2 linked regions of the Mytilus edulis genome follow. The protein of the gene in region 2 interacts with the protein of the main gene of each other region in a biochemical or structural test. Links are inferred from orthologs where the notes say so. Each region holds a gene or a part of one and is shown on either strand. Other genes may lie near its edges.

Region 1 (7,565 bases), on a different chromosome or scaffold from region 2:
TGAAATACTAATTTTTGACTTTTTCAACTGGACCAACTCACTCCTTTGAAAATTAATGCCAGACTTTAATCTTTTTCTGGTGTAACTATGTTCCCTACTTATATATATTTTATTCTTAAAACAGGGAGAACTAGTTTGGGAAAATATATTAGGATGATGACAGTAGGTTAATACATACACAGAGCTTATTTGCAGCTTCTTTGATTTTTTCCATTTTTGCTTCAGAAATTCCTTTTACAGCACAAAGTCTTTTCTTTGTGGTCATTTGGATTCCCTGTAATAATACAATTTTGCATATTTAATGGTTAAAATTTCAAAAAAGTATGAAGAGATAAAAGGTACAATATAATGCACTTGCTATTGTTTGAGATTTGATAATAAATAACGAAGTAGTACTTAAAGTTTATACAATACTTGCCTTTATGGTACATATTCCCACTTGCTTCAGTTTCTTTATGTCAGCTACATTCTATAAATTAAAAAAATAATTAAATGATGCAAATATAAATGACACAAAGTTTGGATGGGATTTCCTTGCTGCTTTGAAGACCCATTGTTGGTTGTGGGCTGTGGTTTGCAATTTGGGCGAGTTGATGTCTCTTTGACGCATACCCCAATTTCCTTTCTAACAATTCACATTGAAAAAAGGTTTGGAATATATTGGTTCCATTCCTTCATCTGTTTTACTAAAGCAGAGAATAATAAAAAAAAAAACTCCATATAAAATCTAACATATTTTCTAAGGCACCTATACTGTTTACATCCATTTCAAACATTGAACTGTGCTCAGCAGTAAAATCTTTCTACCTCAATCGTCTTTTGTGATTACAAAATACTTGTACACATGTCAGAGAAAAAGACTGAGATGTAGTTTGAACCTAGATAAGAAAAATTACCTCTTCTTGAAATTCAGAGTAGCAAAACTAGTTTGGAGACCATCTAAATATGTTTTGACTATAGGATGAATGTAAAATCATATAAAATTTCTGATATTGTAATAGAGTACACATTATTGTTCTTGTACAAACGCAACTTTAAACTTTTCTATACATTTTCCAACTGGGAACATCCTGAATTAACAGTATTTGGATTATAGCTGTTGTTAACAATTAAGATGCCCATCCCCCTTTTAAGCACTATAACCTTGATAAATGGTGCTAGCTATAATATATATCAACTATTCTATATTAAATGACTTATATCAGTTAAGACTTACAATTCCATGATTCTGCAGAAGATCTATGTCCTGGAAAAGTGATTCCTGAAATAGTAAATGATTAACGACATAAACACTCCCCTCAACTGGGACGTACTAGCTATCATTCTAAAAGAAATAGGAAGCTGAAGAACATAATATTAATTGAAACTGTCTTCTGGCATGTTATAACCTGTACTGTTGATTTGAATTTTCTCTACATTTTCAGCTCAACCATTAGAGTGCACTCCTTATATATATAAGAACAAATATGTATAAATGTAACATCACTGTAGGTCTATAGGTGAAAAATACTGATCACATCTATCAGCTGAGTGAGCGTTGCCTTGTCATCATTTGCATCTCATTTTATGTTAATATGTCCTTGAAAACAGATTAATAGACTTCTACTATACTTGCACAAATTCTCCACAATTAAAGTGGTGCACCTGCTATTTCATTTTTTGACACAAGCAATTGTGACACTAGGAATTTCTTATACCAAAACATTTTAAATGTAAATCATTTGTACAAATGTAGGTACGGTAGCAGCCAACACATTTTTTCCAAGGGAAAACTCATAAATTATATTTTAATATTTGTTTATTGTTATTCCAATAAAAATAAATAAAGAGACTGGACTAGAGTTTGCAGAGAGAGTAAATAATATGGTTAAACTAATTTCAAAGAGTTGTTACTCAATGCAAGGAGCCATACCTCTTCATCATCTTCATTCACAACTAATTCTTCTTCAACAACCTGGTCTTCCTGCTGCATGATTTTCTCTATAAAAAAAAATCTCGATTTTTTCAAAATCTCTTCAATAATTACAGCGTTATAATTATCATTGATTTCTAATCACTATCAGTGTCACCAAACAAATTAACAATGACCAAACTGGACACTTCATTGATGAGTTTATTCCAAAACACCTATCAGTAGATGGACTGGTCAATGATGAACGCACCGTTTTAACTCCGCCCAGTCAAGTGAAATAAATCAAGTAAGACATAATCTAAAAGCAATGTAAGGGAGATAATTCATATAAAACATTGTAATTAGTGTTGTTTAAATTTTTAATGTTTATTTATCAAACAAAACAAATTCTATAGCCTCAAATCACAAAAATTACTTCCCTTTGTCAATCGTAGAATGGTTCTATACTAGACAAAATTGGCTTTTGCCAATGCAAAGCAGTGGCAGATCGAGGGTGTGTGTTGAGGGTTGGAACCCCCCTTTTTTTTGGACGATCAATGCATTTGAATTAGGACATGTGGTTGGAACACACACCCCCCCTCCCTTTTCGTGGAAAAAATTTGGTTGATTATATAGGTAATCACTGAAGCATGACTGGATCGCCACCCCCCTTTTAGGTCAGTTAGCGGGCCCCCCTTAGGTCAAGTTCTGGATCCGCCACTGTCAAATATATTTCATTGCTAATCAAAGCACCCACAAGGAGCAGAACAATCAACATTAATTACATACAAATGATTACACAAGTGATTCAATTATATGATTAAGACACAATGTCAATGTTATAAAAAATATTTATTAAGACAAGTAGAAGAATACAACAACTTGACAAGCACAGTGTTTAATAATATATAAACTAGGTTAAAAAAAGGTTATTCATGAAGTTGATGCTTAGCTCTCAACTATTCAGATTTACAAAAACCTTGAAGTATGGGAAAACTAGAACAGTCATAAACTTTCTTACATAGTTCTTCTGCACGCCAGTTACCAACTTGCTCTTTCTGCTACAAAACTTGTCGTCTGCTAACACGTGCGAGATAATCGACGTCTTTAAAATGTTTGTATATTTATTTTAAGTCCGTAACAATAAACCCTTTAAATACGTCGATTGTTAAATCAACATCCGGTTTTTAACACGAGGCACAAACGAAAACATTACCACGAGGCCCAGTGAAGCTTTCAGCCGAGGGAATATTTTGAACAACAATCATGGTAAAACACCTTTACAATATAGTATTTTTGTCACAACCTTAATATGCTTGAATTGAAATTTTATTTGTAATAGAAAACATCAACCAAAAGGCGCATTTCAACCTTGAAAAGATTGATAAATGATTTGTTAATAAAAAAAAAGGGGGGTCGTATGGTATACTTTCTTTCAGAGGTAGCATTAAAAAAAGAAAGTTATTAACTGGCGTTCCCAAAGTATAATGTCCATAACCATATAATAATAACAATAAAGCTTGATATAACAAAGGTAGCTCATTTAATTATTAATTTAATAATACCAATGACATGTCAATCTTTAATACCTGAGGCCTTTTCGAATGATGACCTCAGCATACACATGGTATGATCTATTAACTTATCAGAAAATTATATACTATCATGCATGTTATTCAATCCATCTTGTATGGGAAAGGATTTGTATAGGCACTGCCTTTTGTCCAATCCCTTTGTTTAAATGTACATTTGATATTTGAACAATAAAATATTGGCACTGGCTACGGTTACATGGAAATGTAACAATAATAATAATATTATTGTTACATTGGAGACTAAATGCCGAAACGCAAAGTCGGGTAAGGAACCGATTAATTACGAATGTAACAATAATTACTGAGGCTACGGTTACATTGCGTTATTGTTACACGAAAAACAGCAATATACGATGGGTCTATTAAAATGTACAAGATAATAAAAAAGACATTTATTTTATATTTACAATACTATAGTGTTATTAACTGGCTGTTTCTGTATTGGCACTGGTATAGATTCAAGGTTTGCTGTATTGGCCTCGAGACCTGTAGGGTCGAGGGCCAATACAGCTGACCGAGAATCTATACCAGTGCCAATACAGAAACAGCCAGTTCATAACACTTTTATTAAATGATTATAAGAGAATTAAAAACCGGAAGTGAACGTCCCGTATTAGCCCATGGGCCAATACAGCTTTTTTCCCGCTTTTTTCTGTATTTGCCCTGTTTTTTCCGTTTGAAAACATTAAGACATTACAAAACATTGCACATCATTTAACCTGTTTATTTTATGACTTTAATTTAAAAATTATTATACAAATGTTTTTATGCATAACGATACTTCAAGAGTAAAGTAATGGCGTAAGAAAATTGAAAACCGGAAGTGAACGTCCTGTATTGCCCTAGGGCTAATACGACTTTTTTCCCGCTTTTTTCTGTATTGGCCCTGTTCGAAGAGCAATATTAACTCTTGATTTATATCGACAGTGGAACGTTTTTAGTATTGCACATGCTGATTTATCCGTATTAGGGCTTATTTGCTCATATCATTTAATAAATACAATTATTAAATATAAATTCTTTAATTATTTATTTGCAATGACATTTTCTACATATCCAGTAAGTGGTTTTTGGAGCATTTCTAAGTCCGACACATTTTTGGTGAAACCACTCCAAGCAGCCATCACACACCAGTGATGCCGCACTGTGAACGTCCGTATCACACACTGTACAGTTCCATTCTGCGATATCCCGTTTTGATGATAAGGCAACCTTTCATGTTTGCCATGCTTCCGATGAGAAATACTTTTTCACTCTAGCAATGTTTATATTCTCATCTAATATTTTGGTTGGAAACATGTGATGTAGTTTTATGTCATCTTTCAGTATGGTCACATTGCCGTCCATTACGGATGTAAGGTTTACCTCGGATTTCAGTATCCAACTTAGCATAGCTGAAAAAAACAATAAATTATAAAAATGCAAGTCAAAAGTCAAAAGTTCATCAAATACTAATAAATAGTGAATTATTTTCCATTATTCAAACTGACATCGCCATGGCTAAAAAGTAAAAAGGCAAAACATACAAATAAAAGTAAAAAAAACACAACATGGAAAACTACAGACTAAGAAACACGAACCCTATCAAAAACTGGGGGTATATCAACTGTCCATTTTTTTAAAAAGTTATTTACCTTCTTCTTTTTCCTTTGGTCGTCTTTTAAGAAACGGCATGACTCTCTTCGTACTTTTGGGCAATCCAACGACGCAATCTCGCATGAATATAATGACCCATTGATATTCGTTTATAGGTTAAACTTAACTTACCTTTGGTTTGGACGAGCTCCATCTGATTTTGAAACGACATTACGTCCTCCGTGGATACATGTATACAGAAGTTCACAGTATTTTACTTCACAGTTAGCAAACTTTGCTATAGATGAATCATTTTTTTTAGAACTGTGTTTGTATAGCTGAATGAAATTTGTGTCTTGATATTGTTTCAGTTTTGTTTCAAACGAATCCCAAGTTTTAAATTGTTCACCCAAAACAAAATTGGTCACAGGAATCTCTTCATCCATTGTGTAAAGTAAAATGACAGTTATACGAGTAGGTGTGCAGTTAAATACTTAAACTAAAGTGAACACTTTTCTCAGCCCGAGTTCTCAACAACAAATCATTGGACTATATTTTCGCCTTTGGCACTACTTATCTAAAGTAGTATCTTTAAAACACCAAATGTGACCATTTATACGTTAAAAAGACCAATTTAAACACCATTTGTTAATCGATAATATTTATTACTTATCATTATTACAAGTATTATTTCGTACAGATGCAAGATTAAGGCAACCGTTAAACCATAGAAGATTTAAGTTTAATAAATCGAGCGTACATTGCTGTTTTTCATGTAACAATAACGCAATGTAACCGTAGCCTCAATAATTATTGTTACATTCGTAATTAATCGGTTCCTTATCCGACTTTGAATTCCGGCATTTAGTCTCCAATGTAACAATAATATTTTTATTATTGTTACATTTCCATGTAACCGTAGCCAGTGCCTAAAATATTTTGAATTGAATACACATGGCATACACTCAAAAATCCTTATTATAGACCTTAAATAAGAAAGCGCAAAATGGATAAAAGATAAATATAAATTCAACATTTTTCTGCCATACATGGCATCTGTTACTTAATGTTAATATATTTGTATTTTTATTTCAGACTGAAGAAGTAAATCCTAAAGCTTATCCATTAGCTGATCCAAACTTAACTCAGAAAATATTGGACTTGGTACAGAAGGCAGCCAGCTGTAAAGAATTGAGGAAAGGAGCCAATGAAGGTATAATCAATCATAAAAGCCAATATCTAAACCTTCCATTGGTCAAATCTTATTGTGTTTGTATACATCTTCCTTCATGAAAACATTCGAAAAAATTCTGAAAACAAATGAAGAACAAAGAAATGCAAAGCATTGTATTTGGTATTTTTCATGTGCTATACATGTACAAACTTGTGCACATGTATCCATTTGAAAGACACTCAAATCTAGCTTAAAAGTGAAAAAAATACATGTATAACTGAGATAACTCTATCTCTGTTTTTCAAATATGGTATAGAAAATTTGAATGAAATAAAAAGATATTGTCTTTTTTTTTAAATGACTAAATGTCATATCTGATACTCGTATAGTACTTTTTTAAATGCCTGAAATTATATTAAAAGCATAGATTGGCAAAAATAGAAAATTCAAATAAGATCATGAATAAACTTGATAACTTGTACAATCAAAATTTCAAAGCCTATTGGCAACTATAACAATACTGTGAGAATACTATCAAACTAAAAAATGGTAAGAATACTTTAAATAGATGACAAAATTTTCCTTGCTGAGTTAGTTTTAATTTACTGTATTTGTTTACAGCCACAAAGACCTTAAACAGAGGAATTTCAGAGTTTATTGTGATGGCTGCAGATGCTGAACCTTTGGAGATTTTGTTACATCTTCCTTTACTGTGTGAAGACAAGGTAAAAAGTACATCTTCTTGTGTACAATTGTGTTGTATGAATAAGGAGATAAGTTATGATTCCCAATTAGACAATAACATTTGTAAATATCAAAATTCAAATGAATTGGATGTACATTATTGTAGGCCACCGTACAACCTGCCACAACACCCCATACTATATAATGTCTGGTTGAAAAGGCCCATACATGAAAGTGCAAAACATTCACTAGAAAAAACTTTTTTAATTTATAACAAAACAATTTAAGAAAGATCAATTTGACAGACATGAACCAAAGACAAGAATTTAACTACAGACACTTAAAGAATGATGCAGTACAAATAGTAACAATTGAAAATGATGATCTCAGCCACTAAACTGAGCAGGGATAAATGTAGGGGGTGTTTCATAAGAAAAAAAGTACATTTAAAATGTTTAAGAATTTCCATTATGGATAGTATTGCTTTCCAATTTTTTGTATAAAGTCAGACTTGGCCACATGTCAGTGATATTGTTTGCCTCAAATTACAGCCGAAATTCTGCCTTTTCCCCTGGAGAAAATTCCCAATTACTAAAAAAAAAAAACTTAAAATTCCTCCCAAAAAGTTTTACATTTTCCCAAAACA
Region 2 (7,821 bases):
AAAAAAAAATGAAATTTCTTTGATTTTTTTTTTCTTTCTTTAATTTCATACATAAATAATGGTCATTTGAAAGATGAAATTAGGTGCCAGGAGATTGTGAGAATGCAGGATTTTGCTCTATTTATGTCAGAGCTTCTGGGGGCCTTGAGCTGCCCCCAGACCCCCTGCCGTAAGGCACCAAGCTTACAGCTTGGTGGCCGTCCGGCTTCGCCGAACGCATGTTACAGCCGCCTATAATTTTAATTGAGCCTTCTACTTCAATTTCAATGGAAAGCCCTGCTTGAGTGAAGCATTCGATCACTTGAGACTTATAGGACATTTCCGTTTTTTCTGGACAAAATTGGAAAATTAATGATGGTTCTGTAGGACTCATGTAGGACTAGGTGGTTGAAAAAAATTTCAGAGTAACTGTAGGGTTACACTAATGTCCTGACAAAGTCCTGACAGAAATGTAAATGCTTAATACTTTTTTGTTATTGGAAGGATTTACTTGAAATTTGGAATCAAGCAAGATGAGAACTTGTATTTAATAAATAAAATAAAAAAATAAAAAAATAAATAATTTAAGACTTAGAAAACTTGACCTGACCAACTTGACTTCGAAAATACTATTGTCCTGACCGATATGAAACGGCTAAAAAATAATTTATTATTGACAGGATAGACTTCAAATTCGATATTAAGGAAGATTAAATCATTTATTACAAAAATATAAGAAAAAAAAAATAAAAAAAAAATAATTTTAAGAGTTAGAAAACTTGACCTGACCAACCACGTCCAACCGTGACTAATGTCCTGACCGATATAAAACTGGTAATTTATTTCTTAAATTCCGTCGGATTGACTTCATATTTGACACAAGACAAGAAAGTAACATTGAGTAAATACTTATTTGAAAAGAATTGGGGGAAAAATACTTAAGAGGTAAGAAAACTTGACCTGACGAACATCGACTTTGTTGTGAGTAAATGTCCTGACCGATATGAAAGTGCTAATACTTGCAACATTGTTGGTATGATTGAGTGCTTAATTGAAACTAAGTCAAATTGTAACATTTTTATTTTTATACTTGTTCCAATAAATTGGAAATAAAATATTTCAATGGAAATAAATACTTTAAAAAGACTGAACCCCTTAAACTTAATACACAAACAACAACATTATTAGTTCTTACCTTATATTGTTATTGAATTTATTTATTTCCTATCCATAAAATACAACATCCAAAGCAAATAAATTTTGTTAAATGAAAAGATAGGGGAAATATGAGTTGCTGAGTGACTGTGAGTATTGTTTACCCCTTTGTTTCACAAATCTACTTCTTATTATAAATTTGATTAATAACTCAGAGTGAATAATGAAACTAATTATTGAATTAATAAACTCAATTAAAAATTATAAAAATGTATAGTGATTAGCTACCTATTGATTTTAATAAATAAGTAAATTGAAAGTTTTTTTTTCTTTCTTGGTGCAATAACTCAGTTAAAAAAAAATGTATTAAAATAAAGGCAAAGGAAGGTGACAATAATCAATAGAATTAAAACACACCTATATTAATTACTATAATCACAATTTGAAATGTTTTCTTTACAATCAATAAGTTATTTTTTGTTTTATCTAGTTATTGAGTGATTATACATGTCATATAAAAGCAGGAAATGGGCTTCGTTTTGTTTGAAAAGGATGTGTATACAAGCATATACATTAATATTATATTGGAATCACAAAGAAATACAATAAATTAACACACAAGTTCAAGTTCATAATTAATTAATTGGATTAACAAATAAGTGATTAATCTTATCATCACAAGCCCCTAATCAGATTGACTAATAGAGCAATAAGAGAATGTTAACATGAATAAACAATACTCACATTCAGCAACTGCAACTGGGCCTAACATTTTTCTTTCATTCATTTTAACTGTATCTTTCGTGTTCAATGTTGTTTTTCATATTATTGTGATCGGATATTTTAATTTCACTAATTTAAGGTAAGAGGTTAACATGTTAGAAAATTTATCAAGTCCTACAGTGGTCAGGTCAATATTATTTACCCTTGCAATAATTGTTAACTTTTTTCTTTTAGTCATTTAAAAATTTAATAAGATAATGATAGTTTTCAAACTTAAAGACATTTATTTAAGTAATTAACATAGTCATTCTATTTTTTAAAGATACATGCCTTTTTTCGGTGAATAGCCTATGTTGGTCAGGTCAAGTTTTTTGGTCTTTTCAACATTTTTTTTCTTTTTATTTCTTTTGATTTCTTTGTTAAATGTTGCAAACTTCTTAACTACTCAATTTGAATTCATTCATTACAATAACAAAATAGATAGAATCATTTTTATATCGATCCGGACATGAGTCACGGCAAAGGTGTAGTTGGTCAGGTCAAGTTTTCTAACTCTTAAAAAAATTTTTTTTCTTTTTTTTCCTGATATTTTTGTAATAAATGATTTAATCTTCCTTGGTATCGAATTTGAAGTCTATCCTGTCAATAATAAATTATTTTTTAGCCGTTTCATATCGGTCAGGACAATAGTATTTTCTAAGTCAAGTTGGTCAGGTCAAGTTTTCTAAGTCTTAAATTATTTTTTTTTAATTTTTTTAATTTTATTTATTAAATACAAGTTCTCATCTTGCTTGATTCCAAATTTCAAGTAAATCCTTCCAATAACAAAAAAGTATTAAGCATTTACATTTCTGTCAGGACTTTGTCAGGACATTGTCAGGACATTGTCAGGACATTAGTGTAACCCGTAACTGTAAAGTAAACAGATAAAAATTCGGTTATGATGAAAAATAATTAAGCAACACCCTTTGAAATAGCTACTATTACAGAATTCGTCCCTTTTATTGGTTAAACTCCTCTCACACTAATTATCGTATATTAACCTCGCAGGTCTTCTATCTGACATTTTGCATTTTCAATGTTTATAAATATTTCAATTTCCCTCCTCATACGCCGGAACTTGAAATGAATCACTGTTTCGAATTACAAAATTGTAAATGATTACTATTTTTTGTTTGATTGAAATAAAAAATAGTTTTTAAAAATAATTGGTTATTTTTTGGACTGTTTATACTAACATTTTCTTTGCAATTAAATTTTTGATATTTTCGAATCCGGGTTAAACACTCGGACGTGGGCAAACTTTGTTTAGAAGATCGAAAATTAGATGTCCACTGATTATTTAGGCAGTTCTGAAAAGTCAGAAAACGGCCAAAGTATAAGTCTGTATTAACAACTCCAACAGACAATAGTTTCCTCACTTTAACTTTATAAAGGTGTGTATAATTTATAAAAACAAAAAGGGGGTTGGTAAAGCAAAAAAGGAGGGGGCGGATCTGTGTCTGAGCGAGAAGTGATACCCCGAAATTCCGACAGTTAAGTAGTCTGTCAGTCCGATATTCCGTCGGTCCATTAGTCCAATGATCCGATACAACAACAGTGCGATGGTATAACATGGAGGCGTGATGTGTAAAGCCAAAAGAATGTGGATATCGTCTTCATATCAGAGGGGCAGCAGTGGCGGATCCAGCCATTTTAAAAGGGGGGTTCCAACTATATGCTCCCATTCAAATGCATTGATCGACCAAAAAAAAAAGGGGTTCCAACCCCCGGAAACCCCCCCCCCCCCCCCCTTGATCTGCCACTGAGCCGACCATTTCGGTGTTTTTAAGATCGGGATCAGGATCTGAGAATTCTCTTTTTGAATTTCAGGATGTCTGGATTTAAATTTCTTTAAATTAAGGACCTCGATATTTCATGTTTTCAAACCAGAAATTTCAGGATCAGTACCCCTCCGACCCTCCCCCCATCATATAAGCTTGTATATATTATTAGTATACTGTCAAAACACGAGAAGTGTTTAAATTGAAAAAGTGGAATGCATTGTAATAGGATCCAATAGACCACTTTCGAGTTCATCCGTCACCGGCAAAAACTCGTCAATTATGCACGCCTTTATGACGTCATTTACCAGATAGAGGGGGTCGCCTGTATCCCTGCACTATTTACGTTCATCAAGCGTCTTAGTGATCGTCTTTGTGCAGGATAAACTAGAAATAATGGTTGCTCTGTAGGTACTTACTGACAATTCCCTAATGACAGCAGTGTTGATTGTCAATTTTGAGAATTCAATTTGCCGAATAATTCGTATAATATAGAATTATAGTTTTCCAACCACTCGCTCAACATTGGAAGGGAAGTGACGACGCCCCAAAACGCACAAATGACGGTGATAAAAGGGCGTATAATTGACGAGTTTTTTCCGGTGACGGATGAACTCGAAAGTGGTCTATTAAATCCTCTTCTATATATATGAAGAATGACTGTTTGCATACAAGTACATGCGCTTGCATGTTACGTATTATGTTACGTATTATGTTACGTATTATGTGGTTGAATGTGAAATGTCACATGTATAAGATGTACATGTAGGCTTCTCATATCTGAGGGGTGTTAGGCCCAAAGATATGAGACAACTTGGACATTGGATTGATTTACATTGAAGTAGAAGACAGAACTTATTCACACACTGACACAGCAGTCAAAGCAGATAGTCCCTGGTTCCATTCTGACCCTCGTTGCGAGAGTTTTCATCAATTTACCCTTCTTCTCACATCTCTGGTACCAAGACCAAAGTAAAAACTTGGGGCTGTAATAACAACCACAGTTGAGTTTTTTTTAATTTTTTTTTTATATAAATAAGGGAAGTTACAAGGATGAGGAAGGTAACGAAGTCACCTATGCATAAGTATTAACTACATGATAACAATTGAATGATGTTACAGGGGCCTCAGACATGGAAATCAATCATCTAGTATGAGGTACATAATACTTCATAATTAACTTCTATATGTTAAAGATAACAATGGAGGGTTGTGCACCTCCTAACCCTGTCATACTCTGTGTGTGCCTGTCCCAAGTAAGGAGCCTGTAATAGGCTACTTTTAAGTAATGTCCCTCACCAGAAAAACTTGTGCTTCATGACATTATTTCCTAGAAAGAGGGCATTGCCTGAATCCCTGCACTATTAAATTTCATCAAGCATATTTGTGATCGTCATTATGCAGGATAAACTAGAAATAACATATGTTCTGTATCATAGTTTCCTATTGACAGCAGTGCGGATTATCAATTATAATAATATAGGGTTATTGCATGAATATTGGGGAATATTGTCCCGAGTAGAATTTTATATTGCACGAGCTTGCGAGTGCAATATATGTTCTACGAGGGACAATATTCCCCAATATTCATGCAATAACCCTTTTATTGTATAGCAATATAATATTTGAAAGGAAAAATTGGTTTAAACTAAGATTTTGTCATTGATGACGTCATGAATTTTGAATATTTATTGCACTAGTGCAATATTAGAATTTATTGCATGCTAACTTTTGGTTACTTTCTGTTGGAAATATTATATTGCTATACAATAAATTAAAATTATAGAATGATTGGTGCAATGTATTTAAAAAAAAGCATCATATTTTTCAATCACTTGCTCAACATGGGAAAGAAATGGCAAAGCTGCTGAATGCATGATTGATGTTCATTAAAACCAATTTTTTTTTAGAGAATTGCCACAAACTCAGATCACAAGTTGTCTTTTCAGTGGTTGTCTTTTGCTGTTGTATATTGTATTAGTATTTCATTCAAGTCTATGCAGTATGGGCTTTGCTGATTGTTGACCGCTGTTAAGGCTGTATGGTGACCTATAATGTTAACATCTATGTCATTTAGTCTCTAGTGGGGAGTTGTCTGTTGGGTTCATTATAGTAATCTAATCTTAATCATGCATGGGATATATTCTGGACACCTGATGAAGACAATTTGTCACCTTTTTTTTAAAGGACATTTTTTATGTCTCATATGTAAAATAAACGTAAATGTATAAGGCAGTACATCAAATTTATTCTACAAAAGCAGGAAAGACATGCAATTCTGAGTATCATTCCACTTCCTAAAAATCATTTTTTTTATTTTTCAGATTTTTATGTAGATTTGATAATATTCATTTAATCAATAATGGATAATGAGTCAGAAAAAATGGTAAGAATTTTATATATAAGCCCAAGACAAAATGGGGATGAAATAAAGTTAATTGGATGGACCCATACATGTAGCTAAAACTACTTGATAATGTTACCCAAGCCATTAAAGTGAAGATGTGTCTTAGCTTCTTAGGTCTAAAGATTTCTGCATTTATTCCTCAAAATGTTAGCCATATTTGCAGTGGTGTATTCAGTCATTTTCTAAAGTTGAAGGATACAATTTATAATTTTAAAATATTAAATCAAACAATAACATAATTTTATATGAAAATGATAAAATTCTCAGTGATCCTAAAGAGGTATCAGAAATTTTCAATAAATTTTTCATAAATGTGGCTAAAGATATAGGAGACAAAAACATTAAAATAGACAGAAATCATCCAAGTATAATAAAAATTGAAGAAAATAAAAATGATTATAATGAGTTGAATTTTAAACCTGTAGCAGAAGAGTTTGTGAGTAAACAAATAAATAGGTTAAATATAAGAAAAGCCACTGGATATGACAATATTTCACCAAAAATTATAAAATTGGCACAGCCAGTAATAGCAAATCCTATTAAAATTTTAGTTAATAAATCAATTGAAAGCTCAATTTTTCCTGATAATCTTAAAGCTGCTCAGGTTTCCCCACTTTTTAAAAAGAATAACTCTCTTGATAAAGAAAATTATAGACCTGTAAGTGTGTTGCCATGTATTTCTAAAATTTATGAAAGAGCTATTCATGACCAACTATTAAATGGAATTCTTAAATAAACATTTTCATCCTCTTCTTTCGGCATTTAGGTCAGGTTTTGGTTGCCAAACTGCACTTATTAAAATAATAGAAGACTGGAAAAAAGCTCTGGACGAGAACAAATTTATTGCTGCAATTTTGATGGATCTATCTAAAGCATTTGATTGTTTACCTCATGATTTACTTTTACTTAAATTAGAAGCATACGGTCTGTCTAAAAATTCTCTAAAAATTATTAAAAAGTTATTTAGAAAACCGAAAACAATGAATTAAAATTGGAAGTTCTTCAGCGAATGGGACCGTATTTTTAAAGGCGTACCACAAGGGTCAATTCTTGGTCCAGTTCTTTTCAATGTCTTCATAAATGACATATTTCATTTTGTTCAAAAAAGCACCATTTATAATTATGCTGATGAAAACACTGTATCATACAGTGATCATAATTTAGATAAAGTTGTTGAAAGTTTAGAAACTGATAGTTTAAATCTAATAAACTGGTTTTCTTTAAATTTAATGAAGGCTAATCCTGACAAATTCCAGGCTATAGCCATTGGGAAAAAAACAAATAAACATAATTTGATATTTAATTTAAATGGAAATAAAATTTCTTGTGAAAAAAATGTTAAACTTCTTGGAATAACTATAGATTCGGACTTAAATTTTAACAATCATATTTCTGAAATATGTAAAAAGGCATCAAGACAATTAAATATTCTAAAACGTATGGGTAAATATTTAAACAGGCTAGGTAGGTTAACAGCATACTACTCATTCATACTTTCGAACTTTAACTATTGTCCAGTAATTTGGCACTACTGTAGTGAAAAAAATTCTTTTAAAATGGAAAAAATTCAAGAAAGAGCTCTAAGATTCATTTATGAAGATTATGATATTCCTTACGAAAAATTGCTAGAAAAATCTAAATTACCATCTTTAAAAATAAGAAGAATAAAAACAATTGCAATAGAAACATTTAAAATAATTCACCAAAAAAGTCCGAGCTACCTTCATGATTTTT

Evidence for each region.
Region 1: the proteins of RAD51-associated protein 1-like (region 2) and meiotic recombination protein DMC1/LIM15 homolog form a complex in vitro, tested with the Homo sapiens proteins (2 studies listed by BioGRID and IntAct). The link is inferred for Mytilus edulis from reciprocal best matches to the Homo sapiens genes RAD51AP1 and DMC1.

The regions. Positions count from the first base shown.
Region 1 is NC_092352.1:86,755,291-86,762,855, forward strand, and holds the start of meiotic recombination protein DMC1/LIM15 homolog, read right to left. Parts: upstream 3,026-7,565; 5' UTR 2,913-3,025; exon of another isoform or gene 2,871-2,912; intron 1,981-2,870; 5' UTR 1,973-1,980; coding exon 1,913-1,972; intron 1,262-1,912; coding exon 1,217-1,261; intron 470-1,216; coding exon 419-469; intron 275-418; coding exon 179-274; intron 1-178. Other genes in the region: NHP2-like protein 1, read left to right, coding at 3,158-3,160, 6,157-6,274, 6,857-6,960. UniProt on the Homo sapiens protein: Participates in meiotic recombination, specifically in homologous strand assimilation, which is required for the resolution of meiotic double-strand breaks.
Region 2 is NC_092350.1:13,501,470-13,509,290, forward strand, and holds the start of RAD51-associated protein 1-like, read right to left. Parts: upstream 3,005-7,821; 5' UTR 2,924-3,004; coding exon 2,901-2,923; intron 1-2,900. UniProt on the Homo sapiens protein: Structure-specific DNA-binding protein involved in DNA repair by promoting RAD51-mediated homologous recombination.